4 linked regions of the Arabidopsis thaliana genome follow. The protein of the gene in region 1 purifies or fractionates together with the protein of each later gene. This does not show direct contact. Each region holds a gene or a part of one and is shown in the gene's direction. Other genes may lie near its edges. The genes, in order: KRP2, AT4G34150, AT4G24820 and AT3G55760.

Region 1 (5,858 bases):
TCATTACTACAATTTAATCTTCTTAATTTCTTGTGAAATAGACTTCGTACTTCATTTTTAAAAAGGAAAAAAAATGAAATTAATCCTGTTTTTCTCTGAATAGTTAGTAGTTTATCAACTTATTTCTTTTCTGTTTTGTCTTTTACGGTAATTAAGTCGATCTTGTTTTATGTTCAAAACTTCAAATACTAAATACATAAATACCATAAGAACTCTTGTCTAATTCATAAAAGGACATTATTGGGGTCGCATAAACATATGTAAATCAGATCGAGAAATCAGAATATATATACATTTTAGCTTGATCAATTTAATTAATGTTTTAGTTGGGAATATATTTAGCCTTGCTTTGGGTCCACCCACCTCCATCAATTATCATTCTTTTATCTTTTTGTTTTGACAATCCAACAGTGGTTGTGAATCATGTGGTAGCTTCGCACCTATACATGATCCCCACAAATTGAATTTATAAATTACGTTAATCTCGTAAGAAACAGACAAAACTATGAAATGTCATATAACTAAGGTTCCATTCTTCGATCAGATAAAATAACCAAAAAAAAACAAAAAAAAAACTACACTCGATCACGCAAGTAACAAAAAAAAATGTGAAGTTAAAGGTTTTTTTTTACTCAACATAATACTTTACTACTTATCACTTTACTCGTTAATCAAACACTCATACTAACGACTATTTTAAACTTAAGCCATCTTCAAATTTTAGAAATGGAGAAACGGCAATTTTGCTTCGCATTTTGGTCTACACTATATACGGTTTTAAGTCATTTTGCTGTATTTTTATGTACTCAAGATTAAACTGCATTCTTCTACACTATAATTGTAAATGATTATGAAACTCTGAATCAGTGACTGTCTTTTTGATATAACTGTAAGAAAACGATAGAAAGTGCTTTGGAGACTTTTTTTTGTTTTGTTAAAGGGTTTAAGTGCTTTGGAGACTTGTAGTAACATTTATACGTGATTACAAATTGTGATCATGATATAGACTTTATGGATTATAAAATTTCGTGCCCACACAATACAAATCACTAAAGATCCCATGTGCCCTTGTCTGCATTCACTTAAGTCTTTTTCGTTTTTATTGGATATCTTTTCCATCTAGAAAGATATATTTAGATGTGTTGCAATTTCACTTTTCATGATAGGCACAGTCTTTATGTATATTTGGATAAAAACTGGGACATATCTAAAAGTAATGTTTTACGATAAATACTATCACAATTTAAATCGAAAATTATCCTTCAAAACGAATATCAATATGTATTCATTGAGAGATTTTAAAACTTAGGGATTCATTTGTTGGTACTAGCGTTTAAGTTTTCATAATTAAGAACTACGGATGTATACATAGATATATGATAATTTTATTTTCGTAGTAATTGTTATGATAATCTTTGTTCTTTTGAAGTCAACAACATATATTATGCGAATTTTTAAACTACATTATATGTTTAGCTCACTATTTTATTTTGAATATCTCATAAGTATGTATATATACTTACACATTGTTATAGTGAGTGTAAAAAAGAGAGAGACAGTTTAGTAATGATTGAGTATGCAGCTCGTGGGCACATTATTAAATTGAATGGTATGATGGATATGCGCAGACACTGTCTTGTGTGAACTCAAGAATCGATACAGAACGACGGCATTAAAAAAAAAGAAAAAATTCAATATAAGACGAAAATGATGATGGAAAAAAATTCTTTTATTTTTACCAACGAAATGTATGCGATATGAACTAGTAGTATTTAATTCACTGTGTGAATTAGTAGTAATATTTAAGCATGTGAATATGTTTGTGTACGTATTGTATTGCCACAACAAAACAGCATGTCGCAGCATTGATTTCATTATCACCTAACCGTTAAATACGTCATGGCCCTAGACTTAATGTATTTTAGACTTAATGTATTTTATACCTTATTTTGATATGTGTACGGTCGACCCCCTCACAAAATTGAAATATTACGACTATGCATTGAAAAACTATACACAACTACATTGTCAAATACTGATAAGATCTTAACACAGAAACACATATTATCACTAATAATGTAACGTGACAACATTACATTGCTTTACACACATTTTTTTTAATCTATTTAAGATGATTGGATGATATTGTCATTTTTCTCTATAAATCTAAGATTTTTATTGTCTTTATAATCTAAATTCGCAATTATTACAACAAAAAATTATCAAATCTAAATTTATTTTTAAAATCCACGATAATTATTCTCATTCTATTTCATTGGAAACACCAACCAATTATTTTAAAAAACAGAAAACATATTAATTAAAAAATTGAATTCAAATTCTATTTACCATTCTAAAAAAAAAATTATGCACTGATTCTGTAAACGTTGACACCGTTAACGTAGTCGTAGATATGCACTGATTCTGTAAACGTTGACACCGTTAATGTAATCACATCGAATAAAAGACATATGTTGATCGTGTAAAGGTATAAGATACTCGATCTATAACATCGTTGTCAAATTCCATGTTGCATATACATTATATTGCTTTACACACATTTTTTTATCTATTTGATCGTCTGTGAATTAATATGATAATTTGATGGTATTATTGTTATCTTTATAATATAAATTCGTAATTATTATAACAAAAAATAAACAGTTTTATCTTAATATCCACAATAATTATTTTCATTCTCGTTGATTTATTGGAAAAGCCAGCCAATTATATTAAAATAAATAAAAACAACATATTAATTCAAAAAAATTTGAATTCAAAAAAATTTATCATTCTAAAGTAACTAGATATGCACTAATTGCACTGATTTTGTAAACTTTGAAACTATTAATGTAATCGTAACGAATAAAAGACACGTATCAATCGTGTAAGGTATAAAATACTCGATTTTTAACGGCGCCGTCAAATTCTCCGTTACATATTAAAAGAATTACTATTCCTACTTCACACGAGGCTTTATATGAAAATGACAAGAGTTAATCGTGGCCGTTAACAAATTACGATCAAAACGAAGATCGTCACCATCTTATAACAGAATAACCCAAATGGTACGCGAGCTAGAGACTCTCTAGTAGAGAGAAAGAGAGAGAAACACAAACACGCACACATAACGAGTGATTTTAGAGAGAGATAGAGATCTGGAAGGTGACGTCGTAGGAGATTATGGCGGCGGTTAGGAGAAGAGAACGAGATGTGGTTGAAGAGAATGGAGTTACGACGACGACGGTGAAACGAAGGAAGATGGAGGAGGAAGTGGATTTAGTGGAATCTAGGATAATTCTGTCTCCGTGTGTACAGGCGACGAATCGCGGTGGAATTGTGGCGAGAAATTCAGCAGGAGCGTCGGAGACGAGTGTTGTTATAGTACGACGGCGAGATTCTCCTCCGGTTGAAGAACAGTGTCAAATCGAAGAAGAAGATTCGTCGGTTTCGTGTTGTTCTACATCGGAAGAGAAATCGAAACGGAGAATCGAATTTGTAGATCTTGAGGTGACAACGAAAGCATTATTTATCGAAACTGAATTTTGATTTACAGATTTTGAAATTTTTGAATTCGTTTTTCCAGGAAAATAACGGTGACGATCGTGAAACAGAAACGTCGTGGATTTACGATGATTTGAATAAGAGGTTTGTTTAATTTGTTACAGATATTAAAATTTTGAATCAGTAACAAACATTTCTATAAAATGTCTTTGATTTTTTTGTGTATAGTGAGGAATCGATGAACATGGATTCTTCTTCGGTGGCTGTTGAAGATGTAGAGTCTCGCCGCAGGTTAAGGAAGAGTCTCCATGAGACGGTGAAGGAAGCTGAGTTAGAAGACTTTTTTCAGGTGGCGGAGAAAGATCTTCGGAATAAGTTGTTGGAATGTTCTATGAAGTAAGTTTTTTTTTTTTGATTCAAATCTTTTAATCGAATTTTTGAAACTGATAATGAATTTGTTGTTAGGTATAACTTCGATTTCGAGAAAGATGAGCCACTTGGTGGAGGAAGATACGAGTGGGTTAAATTGAATCCATGAAGAAGACGATGATGATAATGATGATCATTGTTTTCACCAAAGTACTTATTATTTCTCTTCTGTAATAATCTTTGCTTTGATTTTTCTTTTAACAAAATCCAAATGTAGATATCTTTCTCTCGAATAATCAATAACATGTAATTCAACTTTTGTTTGTACTTCCTTGAGGTAATTAATTAGATTCGTGTTTTTCTCGATTAATAAACTATAAGTTTATAACTCTAAGAGTAATTATAATTGTTACTGAAAACTAAATAGCTTCTATTATTTCTATGTATCAATTATCATACAGTATTTGATTTTTTTTTTTTAACAATGAAAAGAGAGTGTAGAGCAGAACAAAAAAGGGTCACGGCTGACGTGGTAAAGGAATATAACTGTTTATTGATCAGGCTTTTTCAGTAAAAAAGTTACTATTTTATTCTCACTTGGATTGGATTGTAGGTGCTACTCTAGTGATTAACTACGAACTTGTTTGTGCTTTACAAGTTATTAAACTAAAATATTGTACTATCTCCTTGCATTTTACAAATTTAGCTATTTGAAATTATATATTTTTTAAAAATAAAATAGCTTAAATATACACTTCCAGTTTTTCCCTCTCAATTTCTTTCAACAAAGTAACTATTTTGAGTTGTATTATTTTATTTTCCTAATTTATCTATCTAATATAACATGGATATTAGATATGGTTGGTGTACCTAACGCCTATAATTTATACTCGATTAGCAACAACCAAAAAAAAGAAGAAGAAGAAGAAGAAGTTGAGTCATTTAAATCTCTGTAAGAGAAATGATTTACGGTCTTTAAAAACTAGTCCTGGACCAAAAAATGGACCTAAAGATCAGAACTTATTTGTTTAGAAAAATGAAGTTAGAATGAAGTTGAGTCATTTAAATCTCTGTAAGAAAAATGATTTACATAGTTAAAGCTACTCCTGGACCAAAAAATGGATCTAAAGATCAGAATTATTTGTTAAAAAAATAAAAAATACAGATAGATATGATTGGTGTTTATTTCCGGGTCGCTTTCTACGAGTAAAGAAATGGTCAATCACAAATCTTTTCATACCAAACTCTGCCATTATTACATAACTCTCTTAATTTCCTAAACCAAGAATGGCTTTATTATTAACTTTTTCCTCCTTTAATTTTGGTCTCTCCTTTTCTACGGAGTACTTTTTTTTGTTTGTCATTATTATCACTCTTACTTTAAAAATACTAGAACTCAAGATTCAACGAGAAAATTCAGAGGTTATGATTAAAATGTTTAAAACTGTCGTACTGTACTGATCGGTTAAAGAAACTGACACAACACAAAGATGCGAGAATGTACACTAAAACCCACGAGGCAAAGATTTTACTCTTTTCTTGTTTCTTCTTTTTTGTTTTTGTCAATAAGTGGTAAAGAGAGCTGGAGTCTTTTTCTCCACTTGTTCGTTTTTATGAGTTGGACTCTACGGGCCCAATATAGAGATTCCTTTGTCAATCTTGTGTTCCACAGAACAACAAGTCCCTTTAAAATTATTCTGAGCCCATTCATATGATCATATATCTTCCTTACATTATTATTTATATACAAAATTTCGAGAAACTGAATTCTATTAGAATTGGATCTTTCTTTGCTTGTTCACAATTGACAAAAGCTTGTTTCTAATACCATACGCATCTTTTATTGATTAAGTAATTAAACAGAAAATTTATAAGTATTGTTCTTTTCGAAATATGGTGATGAACTGATGATGATATACATTTTGATCTTAGTACATTTGTTCAAACAATGCAGTACATTTTTTTGACTCAGGTCCTATATGTTT
Region 2 (7,405 bases), on another chromosome or scaffold:
TTTGCTCTTCAAGTTTGGAATTTAAGGAGAGAAGCTACAAATTGTGTTTGTTCTCCAGGAGATGATGATGCTGAGGAACTTGAAGAGGGAGAATGGATTCCTGAAGAAGATTTTGATCCACAAGAAGAGAACTTTGGTGAAGGTTTTTATCTCTTCTGTTCTTTTCATTTGCTTTATTTCCGCTCCATATCAGCTTTCTTGGTCATGGTTTTTGATATATGAAGCTAAATAAATCCTTATTCCTCATGGTGGATAGTATTTTTCTCTCGTAAGCTGATCTTAAAATTTGAAATAATTAACTAACCCCCGTAGTGCTGTTTAGGGGGATCTTATTACTTCGATGATGTGTTTTCTTCGGCTCATATTCATAGCTTTCATGCTCACTGTTTCATTTCTAGCTGCTCCTTCAAGCGAGGAAGAAAGATGGCTAGCACAATATGGTCAAGTCATCGAATCCCCTGGGAAGACCCTGCCTGAGATCCCGTCTGTTGATTTGTGGGATTGGAAACTTGTATGTGAAACCAGAGAAGCTGACAATGAACAGGTGGCTAGGTTAGTAGGGAGGCTGGTCAGACAGTCGGCGAACCTTCATCCATCTGTGGTTTCTGGTGGCACACTTTTAAAAACTGCCCCAATTTGTGAAGCTCGGCTTCACCTAGTGCGAGTTAGGACAGGTTTACCATTTTCCTTCTAACCGAGCCTTGTTCCTGTGAAATGTGAATAAATATTGTGTTGCTGCAATCGATTTTTGTTAACCTGGTGTGCTCTGTTATATGGGGAAACGTAGAAAACGAATTTGATTTTCAAATGATTTATTCCAGGTCAGGTCTATAAACTTCGAAATCCTAGTGCCAAATACCTTGCATCCTTGTCAGTATATGACGCCTCCAACCCAACAAAAGATTGGGAATTCCCTGATATTTCAACTGAATGGCAAAATCCTGATACAAAACGCAAAGCCAAGAAGGGGAAACCAAAAAGGGCCAGCAAACTTACAGTGAAGCCTAGTGAAGTAGACATGATTGAAGAGGTACTCCAAATCCACCTTCATGGCTGAATTCTTGTATTTTATGTTTGAAAATGTTTGTGAAGGATGTAAACACCTCTTGAGATTCTGTCAAATATCTAGCAGAAGACAAAACGCAAAGCTAAGAAGGTAAAACCAAAAGCTGACTGCAAACTTACGGTGAAGCCTTGTGAAGTCGACATGTTTGAAGAGGTACTGCAAATCCATCTTCATGGCTGAATTCTTCTATTTTTTGTTTCAAACTGTTTGTGAAGGATATTAACACCCTGCTTCTTGAATTTTTGCCAAATATCTAGCAAGAGACAAAACGCGAAGCTAAGAAGGTGAAACCAAAAACTGACTGCAAACTCACAGTGAAGCCACGAGATGAAGTCAACATGATTGAAGAGGTACTCGGACCTCACCTTCATGGCTGGATTCTTGTATTTTATGTTTCAGAATGTTTGTGAAGGATGTAAACATCCTGCTGCTTGAACTTCTGCACAATATCTAGCAGGAGACATTTTTCTAAAGCTCTGTGTATGGGGAAATTCAGTGAGAAACTTAAATCTGTTAAGAGTATTTCGAAGGCATAGTTTAGTGTTATTAGAACCCTAGTAAGCTAGTATTTTCATTGTTGCTCCTTGTTGTTTATCAGCAGAGAAGCTGTTCATACAGAGATAGAGCCGCTGAGAGAAGAAATTTGCATGGTGGATATGGTGTTGGACCAGGTCAAAAAGGAACAACAGTGGACCATAACACGGACGAGCATTCAGTTCCCGACACTGGTTCTGAAGAGGATACTGTAGCAGAAGCATTGGAGCTATCATTTGGATCTGGAAGTTATGCAAGGAGGATAATGGGAAACATGGGTTGGAAGGAGGTAACTTGTGGATCTTATCACTTGTGAGTTGTGATGTTATTTGGTGTCACCGTAATTTATGATTACTGGGGAAATGCTAATGCAGGGTGAGACGCTAGGGAAGAATACAAAAGGTTTGGTTGAACCGATACAAGCAGTGGGCAACACTGGGAATGTAGGGCTAGGATTTCCTCAAAGGAGAAGGAAATAATATGAGGTACAAGATATTCAGTTTAAGGGACTCTTAGTGTTCATATATTACTTGAGAAATTGAGTTACTATATAAACTTGGATTGGCTTATAACAAGAGAGGTTGCAATAGGTAGCTAAATTTCATCTAGACTTGTAAGAGTTGAGAATCATTTACTTGCTGATTTTGAGAAATAGAATGAGAAATCGAAGTACCAAGCAATAGACAAGTTGGTTTCGATTTTTATTGGACCAAGCAATAGAACTGTATCAAGAAAACAACATATCGGATTTATGGTCCATTTTCTCTTGGTCGACAATTTTTTGAAATGGCGCGACGTTGAACAAAAATTATACGAACAAAGAAAGCTATTTCCAGGTTACTGCCTTTATATTTGGATGACTTGTTCCAAGGGGAAACTTTTTTTTTTTTTGTCTGTCATCTGATGATATTAGAACTTTCAAAGGAACCAAGATGATTGCAACAGCTACACTGTAATCTATAACCATCATGCCATTGGACGCATCCTAGTAAATACATAAGAAAGACACTCCCTTTATTTTGGTCTCCGTTCTTCAGCCACACCTTATAATATCATCCACAAGATAATAAGTGGTGTCTAGCAAATAACAAAGCGAAGCTATATCTATATTTATTTACTTATTGATTGTCGTGAATCTATCTTTAATGGTGACATGCCATAGAATTATCACTATTGTGTGGTTGTGCTTGTAATTGTTTGTAAAAATTTTGATTTTATGAATCAAAGATTATCAACATCTAGACTTTAATAGTTAAGGAAATAATAATATTTAAAAAACGCGTACCTAAATCTAATGAAAAGTCAAAATTACGGTCAACGCCTTACGAGACGCGTCTGGTTCTTGAAAGCAAGTTCTGCGTTATTTCATCATCAATCAAAGTCGCCATTTTATTTTTATTTAAAGTCTCACGTCACGGAATTATCTCTCTGAATTCATCATCTTCATCATTACCTTCTTTTTCTCAATCTCGATTGTTTTCTTCCAAATTCATGTCGATGATGGCGGGTATACAAGGCCAGATTCTCGAGGTCACTGGTTCGTACCTTTCTCACATCCCCAATTCTATTATGTTCTTCAACCTTATCTATGATCCGTTGAAATGTTAACTTTTAAAATTTCTGGGATTCTTTTGATTTGTCAGTTGTTGGGTGCCAGAAATTGAAAGACACGGAATGGTTTTCAAGACAAGATCCATACGTCGTCCTTGAGTATGGTGGCAGAAGTCACCGTACCAGAACCTGCACAGGTTATTTTTAATACCACCTCTTTTATTCATAATTTGTTCAGATCCAGAAAAAATTGAACAAAGTTAAGATCTTTCAATGAATTTGATTGATGGGTTTGTTTTTTCAGATGGTGGAAAGAACGCTGTTTTCCAAGAGAAGTTTATCTTCACTTTGATTGAAGGGCTTAGGGATCTTAAGGTTGCTGTCTGGAATAGCAACACTCTCTCCACTGATGACTTCATTGGCAATGCAACGTATGTGTCACTTCTTATCATTGCCTTGTTATGCTTTTTAATACCCGCTTTGGATTTGGAATTGAGTCTTTTGTTGTTTGGTTGTTATTAGGATTCAATTGCAGAAAGTTCTTTCTCAGGAATACGACGACTGTACCTGGACTTTGCAGAGTAAAACTGGGAGGTAATTACATTGGCTTTACTAGTTTTTGTTCCTTTTCCATTAAGTATCATGTTTGGTAATCTCGATTATTGCATGGTTCACATTTGTCTAGCTGATTTTGGTGCAACTTTTTGATGTGGTTTCTACTATATAGTGCTTGAATATATAGTTTCGCCAGTTGCTTTGCTTTGCTTTGCTTTGTTCTTGTCATTTACTTACAGTGCTGACATGGTTTTGCTCACTGATCAGAGTCGTTATGTGTGTTTTTGTGTCCTAAATTGTTAATCTGTGTGAACTACTTGTTCGAATGTTCTGTTTCTACATTGAGCACACTCACAATTGATGTAGCATTTTGATTAGGTTTCTCTGGAACTTATGAAAGATAACTAGACATTTTGACATAAATGGAGCTTCTATTGTCTGTTGTTAGGTTACCTCAGTAAAGAGATGTGAAGTTGCGTTTAAACATTGTAGCATCAAATTAGAATTTCTTAAAACTGGTCTCTTGAGGTATTCCATTTTTGTTTTTGAAAAAGAGAAAGTTATGTGTTTTTTAATCCATGGCTATGTGTTTTGTTTTCTTAAATTCCTGGAAAATCGGTTACAATGTGCCAAGATTTTGGTAGCTTGTCCTCAGCGATTGCTCCTTGTAAAAGATTACTTTTTTGATTAAAAGCCTTGTGAAAAACATCAACCTTTCTGTCTTGTAGATTCGCTGGAGAAGTACAACTCCTACTGCATTATGCGGGAGCAAAGGTAAGTCGAGCCTCAATTAGCAACATTGGTTAACATGTTCCATTATAAACAAAAGGCTAAACACACAATCCACTCTTGTATGCAGAAACATAATTACGGGTCTGCGCCATCAGCACCGTATGCACCTCACGTACCTCAATACTCAGCACCGCCTTCTGCATCTCCGTATTCAACAGCACCACCATACTCTGGACCATCTCTATACCCACAAGTACAACAATACCCTCAGCCATCAGGATACCCTCCAGCTTCAGGGTATCCTCCTCAGCCATCTGCCTATCCACCTCCCTCAACCTCGGGCTACCCTCCGATCCCTTCAGCTTACCCACCTCCTCCGCCATCCTCAGCTTACCCTCCTCAACCATACCCTCCGCAACCATCATATTACCCACAAGGTACCTTCCTTTCTTTCCTGTTCTATGCTGCAATTGATCGCATTTGCTTGTCTCTAACTATAGTCAGTGGTGGTTGATCTTTTTTCTTCTTGTTTCCAGGTCCATATCCAGGACAATACCCACCTCCTCCATACTAGAGCGTTTGGCGTTTAGAATTTGACGGGAAGTGGTCATGATGTATAGATTATAGTTATGGTGTTTTCTAGAATTTGGCAGACGAATTTCTTTGTTTTGTTTTTTTTATATCATCTTCCTTGTGCTATTGCTAGCGTGATGGTTAATTTTTGAGTTGGTCAGTGAAACTTATTGAGAAGTTTGGATCTTTTCATGTTTAACCAGATCGCAGATTATATTGAATTATTACTCTAAATCCTTGGTTTTGTGTGTTCATCATCCTCTTGAGTTAAAATTATGTTAAAAACAAAAAAAGGTTTTGGTTCTGTCTTTAACTTTAAGAAACGGAACTTATCGGCGTATAATCATCGCACTTGTGATCAGATGCAATTAGAAAAAGGTTATTTGGTCAATGTATAGCAATATCTTTAGGTTCTAACAAAAACATTATTGTTGACAAATAGCCCAAAAGTAGTAGAATTTAGCCGACAGATTTTACTGCACTTTGGTTTCTCGATCTCTACTCCAAATGAGTAAAAAGTGGGTAAAGCGGGAAACAGCAAAAGAAATCACACATTTAATAAAAAATAAAGAAAAAGAAATTCCACATTAAATAATCACAACAAGAAAAACAAATAATATATTAGTAAAAGACAAACGTAAAAACCATCTCTCGGCCTTCTCTCATAAATCAATCTCTCTTCTTATCACTCTCCGAAACCCACTTCCAGCTTTTTCCTCTCTCTTTCTCTCTCTAGTCTCTCTTTTGTAGCTCTCCCCTGCTAAGCTAACCACTGCACGTTTCCATAGAGAGGAAAGATGAGTCTCTCTCCGAGAGATTTTCTCTCTATCATCTTATCTTCTTCCGTGTAATGCTCTGAGCCAAAACCCAATAACTAAATCAACAACAATATAGAAGAGAAGAGAAAGATCTTATCTTTCTTCTCATTCTTGAGTTTAGTCCCCCACAATGGCGATTCGGAAGGAGGAAGAAAGTAGAGAAGAACAGAGCAATTCGTTTCTTCTTGATGCTCTCTACTGCGAAGAAGAGAAATGGGACGATGAAGGAGAAGAAGTTGAAGAAAACTCTTCCTTGTCTTCTTCTTCTTCTCCATTCGTTGTTTTGCAACAAGATTTGTTCTGGGAAGATGAAGATCTGGTTACACTCTTCTCCAAAGAAGAAGAACAAGGACTCAGCTGTCTCGATGATGTTTATCTTTCCACGGATCGAAAAGAAGCTGTTGGTTGGATTCTGAGAGTCAACGCTCATTATGGCTTCTCTACTTTAGCAGCTGTTTTAGCCATAACTTATCTCGATAAGTTCATCTGTAGCTACAGCTTACAGAGAGACAAACCATGGATGCTTCAGCTCGTTTCTGTCGCGTGTCTCTCATTAGCTGCTAAAGTCGAAGAAACCCAAGTCCCTCTTCTTCTAGACTTTCAAGTAAATGATGATACTTGCAATAAATTTCCTTAAAGTTTAAGTCTTTTATCCCTCTGTTCTCATCTCTCTGTTTTTTTGGGGGTTTGCAGGTGGAGGAGACAAAGTATGTGTTTGAAGCAAAAACCATACAGAGAATGGAGCTACTGATTCTGTCTACTCTCGAGTGGAAGATGCATCTCATTACTCCAATTTCGTTCGTAGACCACATTATCAGGAGATTGGGACTTAAGAACAATGCTCACTGGGATTTCCTCAACAAATGCCACCGTCTCCTCCTCTCTGTAATCTCCGGTTCGTAAACGACAAAAAGAAAAAAGCCACTCCATTTCGTTTTACCATCTGCTGAATCTGAGTAATCATCTTACATTCTTGTCTTATCTTCCTCAATTGTCTTTGTCAGATTCAAGATTTGTCGGGTACCTCCCATCAGTAGTTGCCGCAGCTACCATGATGCGAATTATAGAGCAAGTTGATCCCTTTGACCCTCTTTCATACCAAACTAATCTCCTCGGTGTCCTTAACTTAACCAAGGTTAGCTTCTCTAATCATCTCTCTACTTGTTTTCACTCAGTCATTTTCTCAAACAACTCTCGTGCATTAACAGGAAAAGGTGAAAACTTGCTACGATCTAATCCTCCAACTACCAGTGGACCGCATCGGTTTACAGATCCAAATCCAATCTTCCAAGAAACGCAAGAGTCACGATTCATCATCATCGTTGAACAGTCCAAGCTGCGTGATTGATGCAAACCCTTTCAATAGCGACGAAAGCTCAAACGATTCGTGGTCAGCGAGTTCGTGCAACCCACCAACGTCGTCGTCGTCCCCGCAGCAACAACCTCCATTGAAGAAGATGAGAGGAGCTGAAGAGAATGAGAAGAAGAAGCCGATTTTGCATCTGCCATGGGCAATCGTAGCCACTCCATAATCGAAAGCTCGATTTCGTTTATATGATATTTACTGTTTTTTTAA
Region 3 (8,353 bases), on another chromosome or scaffold:
ACACAAAACCAAACCGCAGACAAAGAAACAAATTCGCAGACAATAGTCGAAAATGGCTGAAATCTCGGCGACTTCGTTTCCTTCTTCTTCTTCCTCTGCTCTCGTCATCCGTAGCTCCCACAATGGTTCTCTCTCTCTCTCTATCCCCCCATTTCTTGTCTCCTCCATTTCGTTTCCTTGTTTTTATATTATTACCAATAGCTCTAGCTTGAATACAAAATTCTCCATTTCCCCGACAGTTTTCGTTTCTGATGTCTATTTTTATCTCCGCGAATTGCAAATGGGACTTCAAGTTATTAATATCTGATATAATTTCGCAGGTAGCTTAAAATGTCAGAATGTAGCTGTTCCAAAAACTACTTCCCAGTTCCAAGAGGTACATCCATTTGAAATCGATGCTCATACTTGTTGTTTCTTCGATGATACAACTAAATTCTGTATTTGCTTTTTACTGAATTTGCAGTTATCTCTGAAACGAAGCCAGCTTGTTGGCAATGCCGTTGTTACCGGTCATGTTACCGGATCCCGCAGCTGCAAGAATCAAGGTAAAGTTAGCATTACACTGAATCAATCCATTTCCTTTAACATATATTCTTTATCCCCTCTTGATGAAATTTTCCATTAGTACGTTTTAAACAATTTGCTGTCTTGAATATTGCACAGCTATTCGAGCTGTTCTATCCGGTGATGGAACCGCCTTGACTACTGATTCAAAGGAGGCTGGACTTCGTGGAAAACTGAAAAAGGTCGTTCTAGCTTACAGTGGAGGCTTAGACACCTCTGTCATTGTGCCATGGCTTAAGTATGTTTTCCTTTTTCTTGAGTTTATTTCTGACCTCTAACAAGAATACGTTTTGAATCTTCCTCTGGTTATGAAACAACTAGTCTGACCTTCCTTATATGTAACTATTTGTTTTCTAGGGAGAACTATGGTTGTGAAGTTGTGTGCTTCACTGCTGATGTTGGTCAGGTACATCACAAAAATGCCACATGTCAACTGTTTTAGTTAAGAAATGAAGTTTTATGTTGTTGCAATCTGCTTATGTCTTCTCAACCTCTAAATACTTTGATGTGAAGGGCATAAAAGAGTTAGAGGGTTTAGAACAAAAGGCTAAGGCTAGTGGTGCTTCTCAGTTGGTCGTTAAGGATCTCACAGAGGAGTTTGTGAAAGATTTCATCTTCCCTTGTCTTAGAGCTGGTGCCATCTATGAACGAAAATACTTGCTTGGTACCTCCATGGCTCGACCTGTCATTGCTAAGGTAACATTTCGAATGGTTTTATATGATTGACTTGTGAGGACTACCCCCACTATTTCTAATATCTGGATATATCTTTTGGATTACATATTGTCACTAATACATTTTCTAAATGATTAGGCCATGGTTGATGTAGCAGCAGAGGTTGGAGCTGATGCCGTTGCACATGGGTGTACTGGAAAAGGAAATGACCAGGCAAGTACTTGGAATGTCTTGCTAATGCGTCACATTGGAAAACACGCATTGATTCTTACATTACTTTTTTGTACTGATTGATTGACCAGGTTCGGTTTGAGCTCACCTTCTTTTCATTAAACCCTGAACTTAAAGTTGTGGCACCATGGAGAGAATGGGAAATCCAAGGCCGAGAAGATGCTATTGAGTATGCAAAGAAGCATAATGTTCCCGTCCCAGTGACAAAGAAGTCCATTTACAGCCGGGACAGAAACCTGTGGCACCTTAGTCATGAGGTAAAGTAAAAGACAAGTGTTGGTTCGCATTTTTCTTTTGGATACAAATTGATCCAGTTTGTCACATTGCTCAGTTCCTAATAATGTGTCTCATGCTCTGATATCAAACTTATGTGTTTTGTTGAAAGGGTGATCTATTGGAAGATCCAGCAAACGAGCCAAAGAAAGATATGTACATGATGAGTGTGGATCCTGAAGATGCTCCTGATCAGCCTGAGTAAGTTGGAATTTCTTTGAGCCCTTGTGTTTAACTATGCACTGTAATTACCCCAAGGTGGTTTGTAGTGGATTATAGCTGTGTTGATAGTTTGAAAACTAAAGTTGAGTCAGTTAGCTACAGAGCTGAGGTTTAGGCAGAATGAGTTGGTGTGTTCAGGATTTGTTTATGGTTTGGGATTGGGAATCAGATCTAGAATAGAGAGTTCTCGTTATTAAAGTCTCTCAAAGGAGTTAACTGGTTTAGCTGCTATGCTATCAAATTTAGATACCAAGAGTAGGATTTTGCAATTTGCATCCTAACTTTTGATACTTACACACTTATACAGATACATCGAGATCGGGATAGAATCTGGACTTCCAGTGGCGCTGAACGGGAAGGCTCTGAGTCCAGCCACACTTCTGGCCGAGCTAAACACAATAGGAGGAAAGCACGGGATTGGGCGGATTGACATGGTTGAGAACCGTCTGGTTGGGATGAAATCACGAGGTGTGTATGAAACTCCTGGAGGCACTATCCTCTTTGCAGCTGTACAGGAACTAGAATCCCTCACTCTAGACAGAGAGAGTATTCAGGTAAAAGACACATTAGCACTGAAATATGCAGAGATGGTCTACGCAGGAAGATGGTTTGATCCGCTTAGGGAGTCCATGGACGCTTTCATGGAGAAGATAACCGAGACAACCACGGGATCTGTGACACTGAAGCTGTACAAAGGATCTGTGTCGGTTACAGGGCGTCAGAGTCCTAACAGTCTGTATAGACAGGACATATCTTCGTTTGAAGGGAGTGAGATCTACAACCAAGCGGATGCAGCCGGGTTTATTCGTCTTTACGGGCTTCCAATGAAAATTAGAGCTATGCTTAAGAAAATTAGCTAGAAATGGTTTTCATTCATGTCTTACTTGGAATTGAGAGCCTGACATTAGAACACATCCCTTATTGTGATGCGTCGTCATAGCTTCAGCTTCTTTCGAAATAATTCTATCATCTTTCTTCACTTTGGAAAAACTTGAGAAATTTAATAATGAGTGCCTCTTTCTTTTATGATTTCCATTGGAAAGAGATATAAAATATAAATATCCATTACTTGAATTCAACGATCTTAAGTTTAAATTATTTATAACGAGAATTTAAATGTAAATGTTTTTTACTTTTTTTTCTTATGGTAAAAATTCCAAATTTAAATGTAAAAAAAGATAAGGGTGTTTAAGGTAATGCGAAACTTATTTTTTTTTTACATACACAAAAAAAAAAAACCATCGGACCTGAAATCTTTGTAAGCTCTTCCTCCTTGCTCAAGCAAACCTCTTTTTATATATTTGCTCTCTCTCTCTCAGATCCGATTCAAGCTTTCCGATTTGCGATGGACGGTGGAGCGGAAGGATCTCAGCAGCCTCACCTTATTCTAGCCAACAAGCTCTTCCTCCTCACTCATCCAGATGTTCCAGACATCGAGAAAGTCCAGCTCAAGTCTGAGGTTTTGGATTTCATCAGATCCCATGGTTAAGCAGCTCCTTTTCTCTAATCAGTGAGAATTAGCTTAATATTTCTTCGAGATTTTATGTTCCTGATGTTTCGTTGGTGTTTTTATTTATTTTAGGTATGGCTCCTTTGTACGAAACCCTAATTGCCTCTTCGGTGCTGGATTTGGATCAAAGCTTGTTAGAGTCTATGCGGGCCGCTAATGAAGAGGAGCTTAAGAAGCTCGACGAGAAGTAAGTTTCCTTCAGTTTCTCACTTTTATTTGGCAGTGCTTTGAAATTCGAATTCTCGTATTAGTATTTTGGGTTAGATTGATGTAGGGGGACTGTAGCATTCTGGGTCTCAAATTGGATTCAGAATTGTGTTTGCAAAAGTCCACTATGAATTTTGGGAATCTCCATGTTCCTGTGGTAGCTGATGTAGCATGATGTCTTAGTATTCTTAGGGAGATAACCATTACCTAACCATTGGTTTCTGAGTCCATCTTGGCCTCCGCTTTAACTTTGTAGAAACTTCTGAACCAGTATGTTATCAGCCAAAGTTCTCTTACATATTCTTTTCTTTCACTTTTTTCAGGATTGCAGATGCAGAAGAAAATTTGGGTGAAAGTGAAGTTCGTGAAGCTCATCTTGCTAAGGCTCTGTATTTCATCAGGATTAGTGATAAGGTATGTGGCATATCAAAGTTGATAGTTATGGTAACTTCCGTGGATCGTGGCCATTAAATTTTTGTTTTGTAATCCTAGGAGAAAGCTTTGGAGCAGCTAAAACTCACTGAAGGGAAAACTGTTGCTGTTGGACAAAAAATGGACGTGGTGTTTTATACGTTACAACTTGCTTTTTTCTATATGGACTTTGATCTGGTATCAAAGAGCATTGACAAAGCAAAAAAGTAAATGTCAATTTGGCTGTATTTTGACTACTCTTCATGGATAGTGCAACTGAAATCCTTGAATTAACACTTTCCGTTTTCCCTTGCCAGATTGTTTGAAGAGGGTGGTGACTGGGAGAGGAAGAACCGGCTAAAGGTCTATGAAGGTTTGTACTGCATGTCCACCAGAAATTTTAAGAAGGCTGCCAGCTTATTCCTGGATTCTATATCAACCTTCACAACATATGAAATTTTTCCATATGAGACCTTCATATTCTACACCGTCCTGACAAGCATCATAACTTTGGACAGAGTTTCCCTTAAGCAAAAGGTATTTCTCAATGGCTCAGTCTTCCACTTAGAGTTGTCTAAACTTAGATAAAAACTTTTTAGTATGTCGACTTATTAAAATGATGTATATCCATGTAATTTGTTGAAATTCTTATCAAGTGCTACTAATTTGACAGGTCGTTGATGCACCTGAGATCTTAACCGTGCTTGGGAAGATTCCATTCCTTTCTGAGTTTCTGAACTCCTTGTATGAGTGCCAGTACAAGGCGTTTTTCTCAGCATTTGGTAAGTTCATTACAAGGACCAGAGGTCATACATCCGAATGCATGTTGCTTGGCTTTTGTCTGTATGTTTACTAACTTCATTGTCGGCTTATGTTCTCAGCTGGAATGGCGGTGCAGATAAAGTATGACCGTTACTTGTACCCGCATTTCCGGTTCTACATGAGGGAAGTCAGAACAGTGGTGTACTCTCAGTTTTTGGAATCTTACAAAAGTGTGACAGTTGAAGCAATGGCAAAGGCCTTTGGCGTTTCTGTCGATTTCATAGACCAGTAAGCACAATAATGAACGCTCTTTTGTATATTTATGTTTGCCACCTCTCTTTAGAAGCATACAAAAAAACGATAATACAAACTTAAATCTGACTTGAAATGTATTTTTTTTTTTATCCAGGGAGTTGTCGCGCTTCATTGCTGCTGGGAAGCTTCACTGTAAGATAGACAAGGTTGCAGGTGTTTTGGAGACAAACCGTCCTGATGCAAAGAATGCACTTTACCAGGCAACAATCAAGCAAGGGGATTTCTTGCTAAACCGAATCCAGAAGCTGTCTCGTGTGATCGATCTGTGAGCATGCTACATGTTTCTGTTTCACTCTTTCGTCAAGCTTTGCAACTTGGAAACTCCGAACGGTAGAATCTTAAGGTCTGAGAAACGATATGAACTTTGGATTTTGAGATGAATGGCTGTAGTTTCTTTCATCAACTCTAGTTGGTTTGTCAGTGGTGAATTTCCCAAGAACAAAGAGCAAGTTTAATCTCCAATGTTCATTTTATTCTTCCTCGCATATGGCTTTTGAATCTGTTGTTTTCATCGCATCTATCTAGTATCTAAGAGAAAACGACCACCATACCTCTTACAAAATAAAGCTTTTGTTTCACAAGGTGTATTAGTTGACCATATAGATATACCAAGAAAAATGCATTAGTACACTTCATAATCTGAATGGTTAGAATTGAACACAAATTAGATACATCTAAAGGACAGTCCTTGGTTGAACTTGTGAGAGATACATACACAGTAGTTGGTAACTTGGTATTTTGCAGATTCTTCTTCCACGGACGTCTGTTTAGTGAATTAGGTGAGATTCTTCACCATCACACTTATAGGATTTACAATTTGTTTCTTACTGTTTAGTAAGTTCCTTTTTTCCTAAATTTTTTGATATGGTCTGGGGTTAGTAACAAGACCATCATTGTAAACTACTTTAAGATTTGAGGAGATTAGTACCTTATCTTCTATTGCCTGCCTAATTATAACCAGTGACTCACAGTGAGTGTGACATAAGACAAACGGATTTTGTTTCCTTTACAATTTAACGAAACAGTAATTAACACTCTCGAATGGATTCGTAGAGAGCAGCAAACTCCACTCTGACGCCATACATAAACAATTCTTAACTTTATCCTCTCATCCTTATCACTCTTCCTCAAAACTTCGAAAATGCATGCGATCGATTTCAAAGAGATTCAGGAGAAGCTCTCTGATGGATTCCGGCCTTGGCAACGATCGTTTCAGTTCTGGGCTCGTGCCACTGATATCTACACCGGATACAAGGTTTCTCTTTGATTGATGGGTACTCCTTTCTTCTTCTTCATGTTTCGTTTTGTAATACATTTTTCTTATGATTTTCTGCAATTTTCTTTCAATCTGTGTCTTGTTCTGGGCTTTTAGGTATTTCAACTTCGTATGAACTTCGTCAAGGATGTTAATAAGCACGAGGAGATGTGGGAGAGACAACATGAACTTGCTGCTCATAAAGTTTATTCTATGTGCTCTGACCTTGGTGGTTTCTTCCTTAAGGTAATGGTGTGTTGAGACTGTTGTTGAGGTTTGTGATTACCAGAGGGGACTTCCACGTTTGGGATTGTTATGAATTACTCATCTTAAATCTTGTTGTAACAAAAAGTATGAGTTTTTTTTTTGTTTCTTTGATGAGAATAAAGGTTGTACATTTTACTCTTTGATTGTTCACAGTTGCTTATGATGAGTTTTTTTTTTTTTTTTTTACTTTTTTTCATTTTGTTCAATAGATTGCACAAATTCTAGGGAAACCTGACTTGGCTCCAGCTGCTTGGGTGAGAAAACTCGTCACTTTGTGTGATCAAGCTCCTGCCACACCATTTGATGCCGTTCGAGTTGTCCTGGAGAAAGAGTTAGGTAAAAGCATCGAACAAGTGTTTGAAACATTTGATGAGAAGCCTCTTGGCTCTGCTTCTATTGCTCAGGTACTACATTCTTCATCACTCATAGTTTCAGAACCTTTGTACAGTATTACCGTGCATGCTTATAAAATCAGATAAGATTATAGTTTGGTTAAGAAAGTCTCAATATATACTGTATTTCACTTTCTTTTTGCTTCTATCTAGGTACACCGAGCAAGAGTAAAGGGTGACAAGAGGGATGTTGTTGTAAAGGTGAGGAATAATGAGGAGAAAACTGAAATCTTCCTAGTCTACTTTTAATTGGTTTCTGAATGTGCTACGACATGTTTAGGTCCAACATCCTGGCGTTGAGAAGTTGATGATGGTTGATATCAGAAACTTGCAAATATTTGCATTATACATGCAGAAAACTGATATCAAATTTGACTTGTTCTCCATGACAAAGGAAATAGAGAAGCAGGTATATATCATTCTTTCTATATTTTGAGGGTATCTGGTAAGAACTTTATAGCCGCCAAGTCACTATCAGTCCTTGTTTTCATTTACTAGATTGGGTATGAATTCGACTTTAAAAGGGAGGCCAATGCAATGGAGAAGATCCGACGTTTTCTATATGATAACAATAGAAAGAGTCCTGTTCTGGTTCCCAGGGTGTTTCCAAATTTGGTGACCAGGTACTTATTCTTATATTAGCATTCTGGTTATCCCAATAATGTTTTAAGGCTTTTTAGGTTGTCCTGTTTCACTGATCAAGAATTATGGTTCCTGTCTTTTCGACATAGTCTCTTTCCATTCGAAAGTTCTTTAATTTTCGGTTATATTCACTAATGAGTGCTGATCAGAGGAATAATCATAATACGCACAGGAAGGTTCTGGTTATGGAATTCATGAACGGAATCCCGATCTTGAGCCTTGGTGATGAGATGGCAAAAAGAGGGATAAATCCTCATGGTAAAATGGCAGAGGCAGCAAAATTGTAAGCTCCTCCATTATCTCAGATAGGTTTTTGACTTTTTCCAATGGCATTGGCGGCTTTTAAAGCATTTGGATCTTGTCTAATGCTGCATTGGAAAATGTATTTTGTTTTCTAGCAATATACTACACAGTTTGTCCCAAGCATATGGCCAAATGATACTGAAGAGTGGTTTCTTTCATGCGGATCCACATCCTGGGAATATCTTGATTGGTAAAGGTTCAGAGGCAAGTCATCTTTTGTTTGTAGTTATTCTTTAGTAGTTTCTTAATTGACTTACTGTGGTCTTTTGATACGTTTTAGTACCGTCTATATATTTTGAGTTGTAATCTTTGTTTCCCGTCATC
Region 4 (7,433 bases), 1.9 Mb from region 1:
ATACTTGCTGGTTCAGCCTTAAAGGTACAATAACCGAAACAAACCGTTTTGTTGCGAAAATCCGAAAGTTAGCTCATATGGCTCTGCTTTTGCATTTTGTGCAGGCTGTTTATGTACTTTTTAGAGATGATAGTCTCATGAAACTGCCTCACTTCATCGCCATCGCGGGTGTTGTATGCGCGATTTTCGCAATCGGTATTCCTCATTTATCAGCTCTTGGAATCTGGCTAGGAGTTTCAACAATCCTCAGCATAATCTACATTATTGTTGCAATAGTTCTATCAGCTAAAGATGGTAAACTTTTATGTTAAATCAAACCTCGAAAATGATTTCATATAACCACAAAAAAACTACTCACCATTTTGTGTGTTTTTGTTTCTGGTTTAATAGGAGTAAACAAGCCTGAAAGAGATTACAACATACAAGGATCATCAATAAACAAACTCTTTACCATAACAGGAGCAGCTGCAAATCTAGTTTTCGCATTCAACACGGGAATGCTCCCGGAAATACAGGTCAGTGTCATCGATCTATTATTCATGCTCGATCAAATCTTTCTCTGTTTTGTGAGTGACACTAATCTTTTGTGCAAATGATTAGGCCACGGTGAAGCAACCGGTCGTTAAAAACATGATGAAGGCTCTGTATTTTCAATTCACTGTTGGTGTTTTACCTATGTACGCGGTTACATTCATCGGATATTGGGCTTACGGGTCCTCGACATCGACTTATCTCTTAAACAGCGTCAGTGGACCTGTTTGGGTCAAAGCACTCGCTAACATTTCAGCTTTTCTCCAATCTGTTATCTCTTTACATGTAAGTCTCTATCCAGACCACAATGATGAGTCTTTGAGTCTTAATCCTAAGCTTAACCGTTTTAATTCTTGTGTTTTTAACGTAGATTTTTGCAAGTCCGACTTATGAGTATATGGACACAAAGTATGGAGTCAAAGGAAGTCCATTGGCAATGAAGAATCTGTTGTTTAGAACAGTAGCAAGAGGAAGCTACATTGCGGTGAGCACTCTTCTCTCTGCGCTTTTACCGTTTCTCGGAGATTTCATGAGCCTTACCGGAGCGATAAGCACGTTCCCTCTCACATTCATATTAGCGAATCACATGTATCTTGTTGCTATGAATGATGAGCTTAGTCTTGTGCAAAAGCTATGGCATTGGCTCAATGTTTGCTTCTTTGGATTAATGTCTCTTGCTGCTGCTATTGCTGCTGTTAGACTCATCTCTGTTGACTCCAAGAACTTCCATGTTTTTGCTGATGTTTGATTAAAATGTCTTCGACATTTTTAACGATGTAATCTTTATACCAATTAGAAAAAATTTGTAATCCTTTTGTTGTTACTTTTATTATTTCAAATGAAAGAAATTTTTTATAACATAATATATATATTTATTTTTCGGTTCAACACAAATTTTTTTTTTAACAAAACAATTCAAGAGATAAATAGATATAAAAAAAAGTAAAGTGAAATTAATCAAGTAGTCATATTCTTAAGCAAAGCCATATTCATTAAGAAAATAAATAATCATTTTCTTATGCAGAGCCATATTTGGGCCAAGCCGTATAAACGTTTGGGCCAACTTGTTTGAGATAGCATATAAGCCCAATAGAGTTTTGTTGCTGAGCTTATTTGTGAATCCATATAAAGTCTTGACCTAATAACGAAAGCTAGGGTTTTTTCTCTGTGAAATCGCTCGCCGGCATAAAAGAGAGTCAGAAGAGGAAGAAGAGAGTTACAAGGATTGAAAATGAAGGGACGTCAAGGAGAGAGAGTTAGGTAATTAGGGTTTCGAACACATATTTCTCTCTATTTTCTCAGCTGAATCTCCGATTCGAATTAGTTCGTTAGTGCTTTACATTAGTCTGATGACATCTTTGTTTTGCTGTTTTGCAGATTGTATGTTCGTGGAACAGTCCTCGGTTACAAGAGGTACTTTCAATTTTCAGTCTTTCTCTGTATGTTCTTAGATTTTTCAGAGTTCAATGTTGCGTTTATGGTTGGAGATTGTAGTGTTTAGTTTCATTATTCTTAAGTTATTTGGATTTGAATATTCATCTATCGTTTTGGATATCAATATAAGATCTCGATAAAAGTTTGTAACTTTGCCACAACTGATAGATTTCAATGATAATGCTCTCAGATTTGTAATCTTATTCCATGGTTTCTGATTTATGGTTGTGCAAAGTGATGCATTTTTGCTATTGCTTCCTTTAAGATTAGCTTTTAAGCAGTTGGTTGATAGTTTGATTGCTTATATAAAGCGGATTAAAGATTGATTACTAACGATTAAGTAATGTTTCAGGTCCAAGTCGAACCAATACCCTAACACTTCTCTCGTCCAGATTGAAGGTGTGAACACTCAAGAGGAGGTTAATTGGTACAAGGGTAAGCGTTTGGCTTACATCTACAAGGCAAAGACAAAGAAGAACGGTTCTCACTACCGTTGCATTTGGGGCAAAGTCACTAGGCCTCATGGTAACAGTGGTGTTGTCCGTTCTAAGTTCACTTCAAACCTACCACCCAAGTCAATGGTACTTTATCTTCTTGAGACATAATCATGGTTAATTGGATTTTTTCCTCCAGACTAATCATTTTTGATCTGCTGTGTTTACTCTCAGGGAGCTAGAGTCAGAGTCTTCATGTACCCTAGCAACATATGAGGTAATAACAAACTCACTTCAGTTTTATTTTTGATGCAATAGTCCCATTTATTGCTTTCATTTCAGTTGAATTGAACACCACTGATTCTGTAACTTGAGATTTAAGATTAGTTGTTTCATTTTTCTTCTCTAATGGCGAAACCTTGTCAACAAGGCTATATCTATTTGAAAGGTTGTGCATTGTAGTTAAGAGCAATTAGATTATAATCCTTTAAGTATAATAGATTGTCCAAGATTTATATACTTAAGTGAACATGGATCCTGATTCGATTTCCTAATGCAGGAGGCTAGATTTCAACAAGTATCGGAAGGAATCGCCATTATCATTTCTCAGGAGCTGTAGTTTTATCTATTCACTTTTATTCTAGACTCTCTGTTGGTTTTGATTTTATCTTGAGACGAAGTAAAACATTTTTTTTCTTGAGATCATATACTATCGAGTATTAATGGAACTTGAGAAAAGCTATGATCCCAGTCATTTTCCTTATTTAGATTTCTCTTACTCTATTCCCTTAACCTTTTCTCCAATTTGAGTGTTGATGAAAGAAATCATTTCTCCTTCATGCTATAACTAGCAAGTAGCCAATGTAGACTTTTTCTTGCAACTAAATCAATTTATTCTTGGAATATTAATTCTAGTTGGTATATTAAGTAACTTCGTTATACTGATTCCATTTATTAATGATTAATATGATGCAAAAAGTTACAATTTACACAGTTAATCAATCAAATAAACCATTTATTTGGCACCACCCGCCAAAAAAAAAAGAAGTACCAGATATTTGGTGCCGACATAAGAAAAAAAAAGAGAGCCAAAGTACACAAGTTACAATCCCACACTCACTGTGTCCTTAAACACAATCCTCGAGATTCTATTCCTTGCTTGCATCATTTTCTTCTTCCGTGTATTTTGGAGTTTCGTTCGAGGACAGATCTTGATTTGACTCAGCTCAACTTGAGGTAACAAAAATCTTTCCTTTGTGATTAATTTTCCTACGATCTCACAAAGGTTTCGCCTTTCTCTTTGATTACAAGTTTTTAAAACTGATTCTTCCTTGTAATTGGAATTGCAAGCGAAGAAGAAGAAGAAACAAATGGCTTTGCGTTTAGGTGTTTCTATAGGGGCAGCTTTGGGTTCCTCTCATTGGGACGACGGACAACGAGTACGACAACGTGACTTCTCCGCTTCTGTGAATTTCACCGCACCGGTTACGAGCCGGAGGAGCTTAAGGGGTAGTAGAACCGGTGTGAGGATTCTTAGGGTTTCAAATGAAGGACGCGAATCGTACCTCGATATGTGGAAGAACGCTGTTGATCGCGAGAAGAAAGAGAAGGCCTTTGAAAAAATTGCAGAGAATGTTGTAGCTGTTGATGGTGAGAAGGAGAAAGGAGGAGACTTGGAGAAGAAGAGCGATGAGTTTCAGAAGATCCTCGAGGTTTCCGTTGAGGAAAGAGATCGGATTCAGCGAATGCAGGTCGTTGATCGTGCCGCTGCCGCAATCTCCGCAGCTAGAGCTATTCTCGCCTCTAACAATTCCGGCGACGGCAAAGAAGGATTCCCAAATGAAGACAACACTGTCACAAGTGAAGTCACAGAGACACCGAAAAATGCTAAACTTGGTACAAATCTTCTACTTGTTAGCACAATCCAAAGTTAATGATAGTATTAGTCACCTTACTTGGCTATGTTATTGGAAATTTTATTAGGAATGTGGAGCAGAACAGTGTATGTGCCACGGTCAGAAACTTCAGGGACTGAGACACCAGGACCAGATTTTTGGTCATGGACACCTCCTCAAGGTAGTGAAATTAGTTCTGTGGACTTGCAGGCTGTGGAAAAGCCTGCTGAGTTTCCAACTTTGCCAAATCCTGTATTGGAGAAAGATAAATCAGCGGATTCTCTTTCGATACCATATGAGAGTATGCTTTCTTCTGAAAGACATAGCTTTACTATCCCGCCTTTTGAGTCTTTGATTGAGGTTCGAAAAGAGGCTGAGACGAAGCCTAGCTCCGAGACTTTATCGACAGAACATGACCTTGATCTCATATCTTCAGCAAACGCGGAAGAAGTAGCTCGTGTTCTTGATAGTTTGGATGAATCTTCAACGCATGGAGTTAGCGAAGATGGATTGAAGTGGTGGAAGCAAACGGGTGTGGAGAAAAGACCTGATGGTGTGGTTTGCAGGTGGACAATGATACGTGGGGTTACTGCTGATGGTGTTGTTGAGTGGCAAGATAAGTATTGGGAGGCTTCTGATGATTTTGGGTTCAAGGAACTTGGTTCTGAGAAATCAGGACGTGATGCCACTGGAAACGTGTGGCGTGAGTTCTGGAGAGAGTCAATGAGCCAGGTTAGTGTAAAGTAGTTGCCGTAGTAAATCTAACGCACTATAGACTATTTGAGACTTAATTTGAATTGTCTATTACAGGAGAATGGTGTTGTGCATATGGAGAAAACTGCAGACAAATGGGGAAAGAGTGGACAAGGTGATGAATGGCAAGAGAAATGGTGGGAGCATTACGATGCTACCGGAAAATCAGAAAAATGGGCTCATAAGTGGTGCAGCATTGACCGCAACACGCCTCTTGACGCTGGCCACGCTCATGTCTGGCACGAGAGGTATTCTCAAAATCCTCTTTTCACATAACGAAACACTAATAACATAATCGAATCTTTATCCTTTAACTTTCAGTCCTTAAAATATCAATCAATCTCTTTAACACAAGTTAGAATGTTTGTCCTTTAACTTTTACACCTTATATTGTTGAACATCAAATCAGTTCAGTAGCAAAACATTGCCTTTTCATACTCTTTAAGGTGCTCTATTAACATTTAGAAGCTTAGTCTGCGAGCTTTGTTGAACTGTTATCAAAACAGAACTGACACTAGACAAGCTGTGACCAAATAACAGGGAATGTAGAGTGTTTCTAAATATGTCTTGATTGGTTTTGACCAGGTGGGGAGAGAAGTATGACGGGCAAGGCGGAAGCACAAAGTACACAGACAAGTGGGCGGAACGGTGGGTAGGTGACGGTTGGGACAAATGGGGAGACAAATGGGACGAGAACTTTAACCCGAGCGCTCAAGGAGTGAAACAAGGTGAGACTTGGTGGGAAGGGAAGCACGGCGACAGATGGAACCGAAGCTGGGGAGAAGGTCACAACGGATCAGGATGGGTTCACAAATACGGAAAAAGCAGCAGCGGTGAACACTGGGACACACATGTACCACAAGAAACTTGGTATGAGAAGTTCCCTCACTTTGGCTTCTTCCACTGTTTTGACAACTCTGTTCAGCTCCGAGCCGTTAAGAAGCCTTCTGATATGTCCTAGATATATCAAATACTAAGCATAAAATATATAAATAAGCTGGGACAATCAAAGAATTGGCCTACAATATTAGAGTAGTTTGATCAAGTGCAATGTATGTAATATTTATTATGACTTCTAATTTGTTCTATGCTTTGGTGTTTCTTAATGAGTATGGCCAAAGTTTATTTGGTAGTTACTAATATAACACAAATCTGATTAGAAAACTGGAACACATTCCATTCCAGGAGCATAAAGTTATATGAACAGATAATCTAAACTCTTTATTTGGTAAAGATAAGAAGACAAATATTTTCTGTAACCAATAATAATCTTCAGTTACATTTGTATTAAATTCTAATAAAAAAAATATACAGAGGACAAGCCAAAGTGGAACCCCACCCACTGTCTTCTCAAAGATTAAAAAAAAGAAAAGGATTTTACCCAAAATCTCCGATATTCTTATTCCTTTGCTGTATCATCTTCTTCTTCTACTTCGTCCTCATCATCGTCACATAGATCCTCCTTTTTCGTTAATTGGGGAGAGATATACGTAACAGCTCTTCTCTCTACAAAGAAGTTGACTTTTGCATCCTTACATCTCTCAAATCTTTCTCTGGTTAATCTGTATTCGTGTATTTTTGCAGTTTCTTTTGAGGATCAGATCGTGACAGGGTTTAGCTCAAGGAGAGGTATTAGATCCGTACTTTGTGATAAACTTTCTCAAGGTTTACGATCTCATTCTATCTAGATCGGCTTCGTATAGATACAATCTTGTTTCAATTAGCAATGGATCGATTTTGTTATTCGAATATTTAGAAAAAGGAAAGATTTTTCCAAAGGGGTTTCCTCTTATACCATTTTTTCTGGGTTTTTTGAAATTTAGGGTGAGAAAAAGAAGAAGAAGGTGAGAAAAGTGAAGGCAAGGCTTTGAGGATGTCTTTTACAGGAACTCAACAGAAATGCAAGGCTTGTGAGAAGACTGTTTATGCTGTTGAGCTTCTCTCTGCTGATGGAGTTGGATATCACAAGTCTTGCTTCAAATGCACTCACTGCAAAAGCAGGCTTCAGGTCTGATTCTCTCATCTTTGTATTCATGTTAACGATGCTGCTTTAATTAGAGGAATGAGTTTACGAATTACCCATCTTCTTGCTTAAATGATGAATTGAATGTCTATTGTAACCATAAGCAGCTCTTGATAAAGTAAATGTCTTTTTACAGCTGAGTAGTTACTCATCAATGGAAGGTGTTTTGTACTGTAAGCCTCATTTTGAGCAGCTCTTTAAGGAGAGTGGTAGTTTCAACAAGAACTTTCAGTCACGTATGTAGTTTTGTTTCTGCTTCGATTCATGTTTTTTTTCCGCTTGCCCTTCTTTTGGTTATTGATTTAATCAGTCTTGCAACTTTGTTTCCTCACAGCTGCAAAATCGGCTGACAAATCAACTCCT

Evidence for each region.
Region 2: the proteins of KRP2 (region 1) and AT4G34150 purify together in Arabidopsis thaliana (affinity purification with mass spectrometry, with the first as the bait; one large-scale study listed by BioGRID). This does not show direct contact.
Region 3: the proteins of KRP2 (region 1) and AT4G24820 purify together in Arabidopsis thaliana (affinity purification with mass spectrometry, with the first as the bait; one large-scale study listed by BioGRID). This does not show direct contact.
Region 4: the proteins of KRP2 (region 1) and AT3G55760 purify together in Arabidopsis thaliana (affinity purification with mass spectrometry, with the first as the bait; one large-scale study listed by BioGRID). This does not show direct contact.

What each region holds. Positions count from the first base shown.
Region 1 is NC_003074.8:18,797,325-18,803,182, forward strand, and holds KRP2 (KIP-related protein 2), read left to right. Parts: upstream 1-2,981; 5' UTR 2,982-3,183; coding exon 3,184-3,510; intron 3,511-3,586; coding exon 3,587-3,648; intron 3,649-3,732; coding exon 3,733-3,900; coding exon of another isoform or gene 3,901-3,904; exon of another isoform or gene 3,905-3,969; coding exon 3,970-4,042; 3' UTR 4,043-4,271; downstream 4,272-5,858. UniProt on the Arabidopsis thaliana protein: Binds and inhibits CYCD2-1/CDKA-1 complex kinase activity. Regulates cell division which is crucial for plant growth, development and morphogenesis. May regulate early lateral root initiation by blocking the G1/S phase transition.
Region 2 is NC_003075.7:16,351,944-16,359,348, forward strand, and holds AT4G34150 (Calcium-dependent lipid-binding (CaLB domain) family protein), read left to right. Parts: upstream 1-2,913; 5' UTR 2,914-3,091; coding exon 3,092-3,137; intron 3,138-3,243; coding exon 3,244-3,348; intron 3,349-3,455; coding exon 3,456-3,582; intron 3,583-3,673; coding exon 3,674-3,745; intron 3,746-4,434; coding exon 4,435-4,480; intron 4,481-4,565; coding exon 4,566-4,875; intron 4,876-4,974; coding exon 4,975-5,012; 3' UTR 5,013-5,517; downstream 5,518-7,405. Other genes in the region: AT4G34140 (D111/G-patch domain-containing protein), read left to right, coding at 59-142, 399-674, 822-1,030, 1,130-1,219, 1,324-1,416, 1,668-1,889, 1,975-2,079; CYCD3;1 (CYCLIN D3;1), read left to right, coding at 5,960-6,433, 6,523-6,724, 6,834-6,964, 7,038-7,361.
Region 3 is NC_003075.7:12,787,557-12,795,909, reverse strand, and holds AT4G24820 (26S proteasome regulatory subunit Rpn7), read left to right. Parts: upstream 1-3,187; 5' UTR 3,188-3,310; coding exon 3,311-3,449; intron 3,450-3,547; coding exon 3,548-3,662; intron 3,663-4,005; coding exon 4,006-4,096; intron 4,097-4,174; coding exon 4,175-4,320; intron 4,321-4,410; coding exon 4,411-4,630; intron 4,631-4,766; coding exon 4,767-4,875; intron 4,876-4,974; coding exon 4,975-5,143; intron 5,144-5,264; coding exon 5,265-5,439; 3' UTR 5,440-5,593; exon of another isoform or gene 5,594-5,841; intron 5,842-6,118; exon of another isoform or gene 6,119-6,311; coding exon of another isoform or gene 6,312-6,425; exon of another isoform or gene 6,426-6,542; coding exon of another isoform or gene 6,543-6,671; exon of another isoform or gene 6,672-6,859; 3' UTR 6,860-6,880; downstream 6,881-8,353. Other genes in the region: AT4G24830 (arginosuccinate synthase family), read left to right, coding at 53-125, 321-376, 464-545, 664-802, 922-970, 1,078-1,260, 1,378-1,452, 1,542-1,727 and 2 more; AT4G24810 (Protein kinase superfamily protein), read left to right, coding at 6,312-6,425, 6,543-6,671, 6,902-7,096, 7,238-7,285, 7,365-7,493, 7,583-7,707, 7,899-8,009, 8,125-8,233. UniProt on the Arabidopsis thaliana protein: Acts as a regulatory subunit of the 26S proteasome which is involved in the ATP-dependent degradation of ubiquitinated proteins.
Region 4 is NC_003074.8:20,696,879-20,704,311, forward strand, and holds AT3G55760 (uncharacterized protein), read left to right. Parts: upstream 1-3,435; 5' UTR 3,436-3,635; exon of another isoform or gene 3,636-3,749; 5' UTR 3,750-3,769; coding exon 3,770-4,295; intron 4,296-4,382; coding exon 4,383-5,026; intron 5,027-5,104; coding exon 5,105-5,295; intron 5,296-5,632; coding exon 5,633-6,008; 3' UTR 6,009-6,252; downstream 6,253-7,433. Other genes in the region: PROT2 (proline transporter 2), read left to right, coding at 1-24, 105-294, 391-515, 601-816, 902-1,279; AT3G55750 (Ribosomal protein L35Ae family protein), read left to right, coding at 1,763-1,791, 1,909-1,944, 2,318-2,546, 2,634-2,675; WLIM2b (GATA type zinc finger transcription factor family protein), read left to right, coding at 6,921-7,055, 7,207-7,306, 7,405-7,433. UniProt on the Arabidopsis thaliana protein: Binds preferentially to highly ordered alpha-glucans, such as starch and crystalline maltodextrins.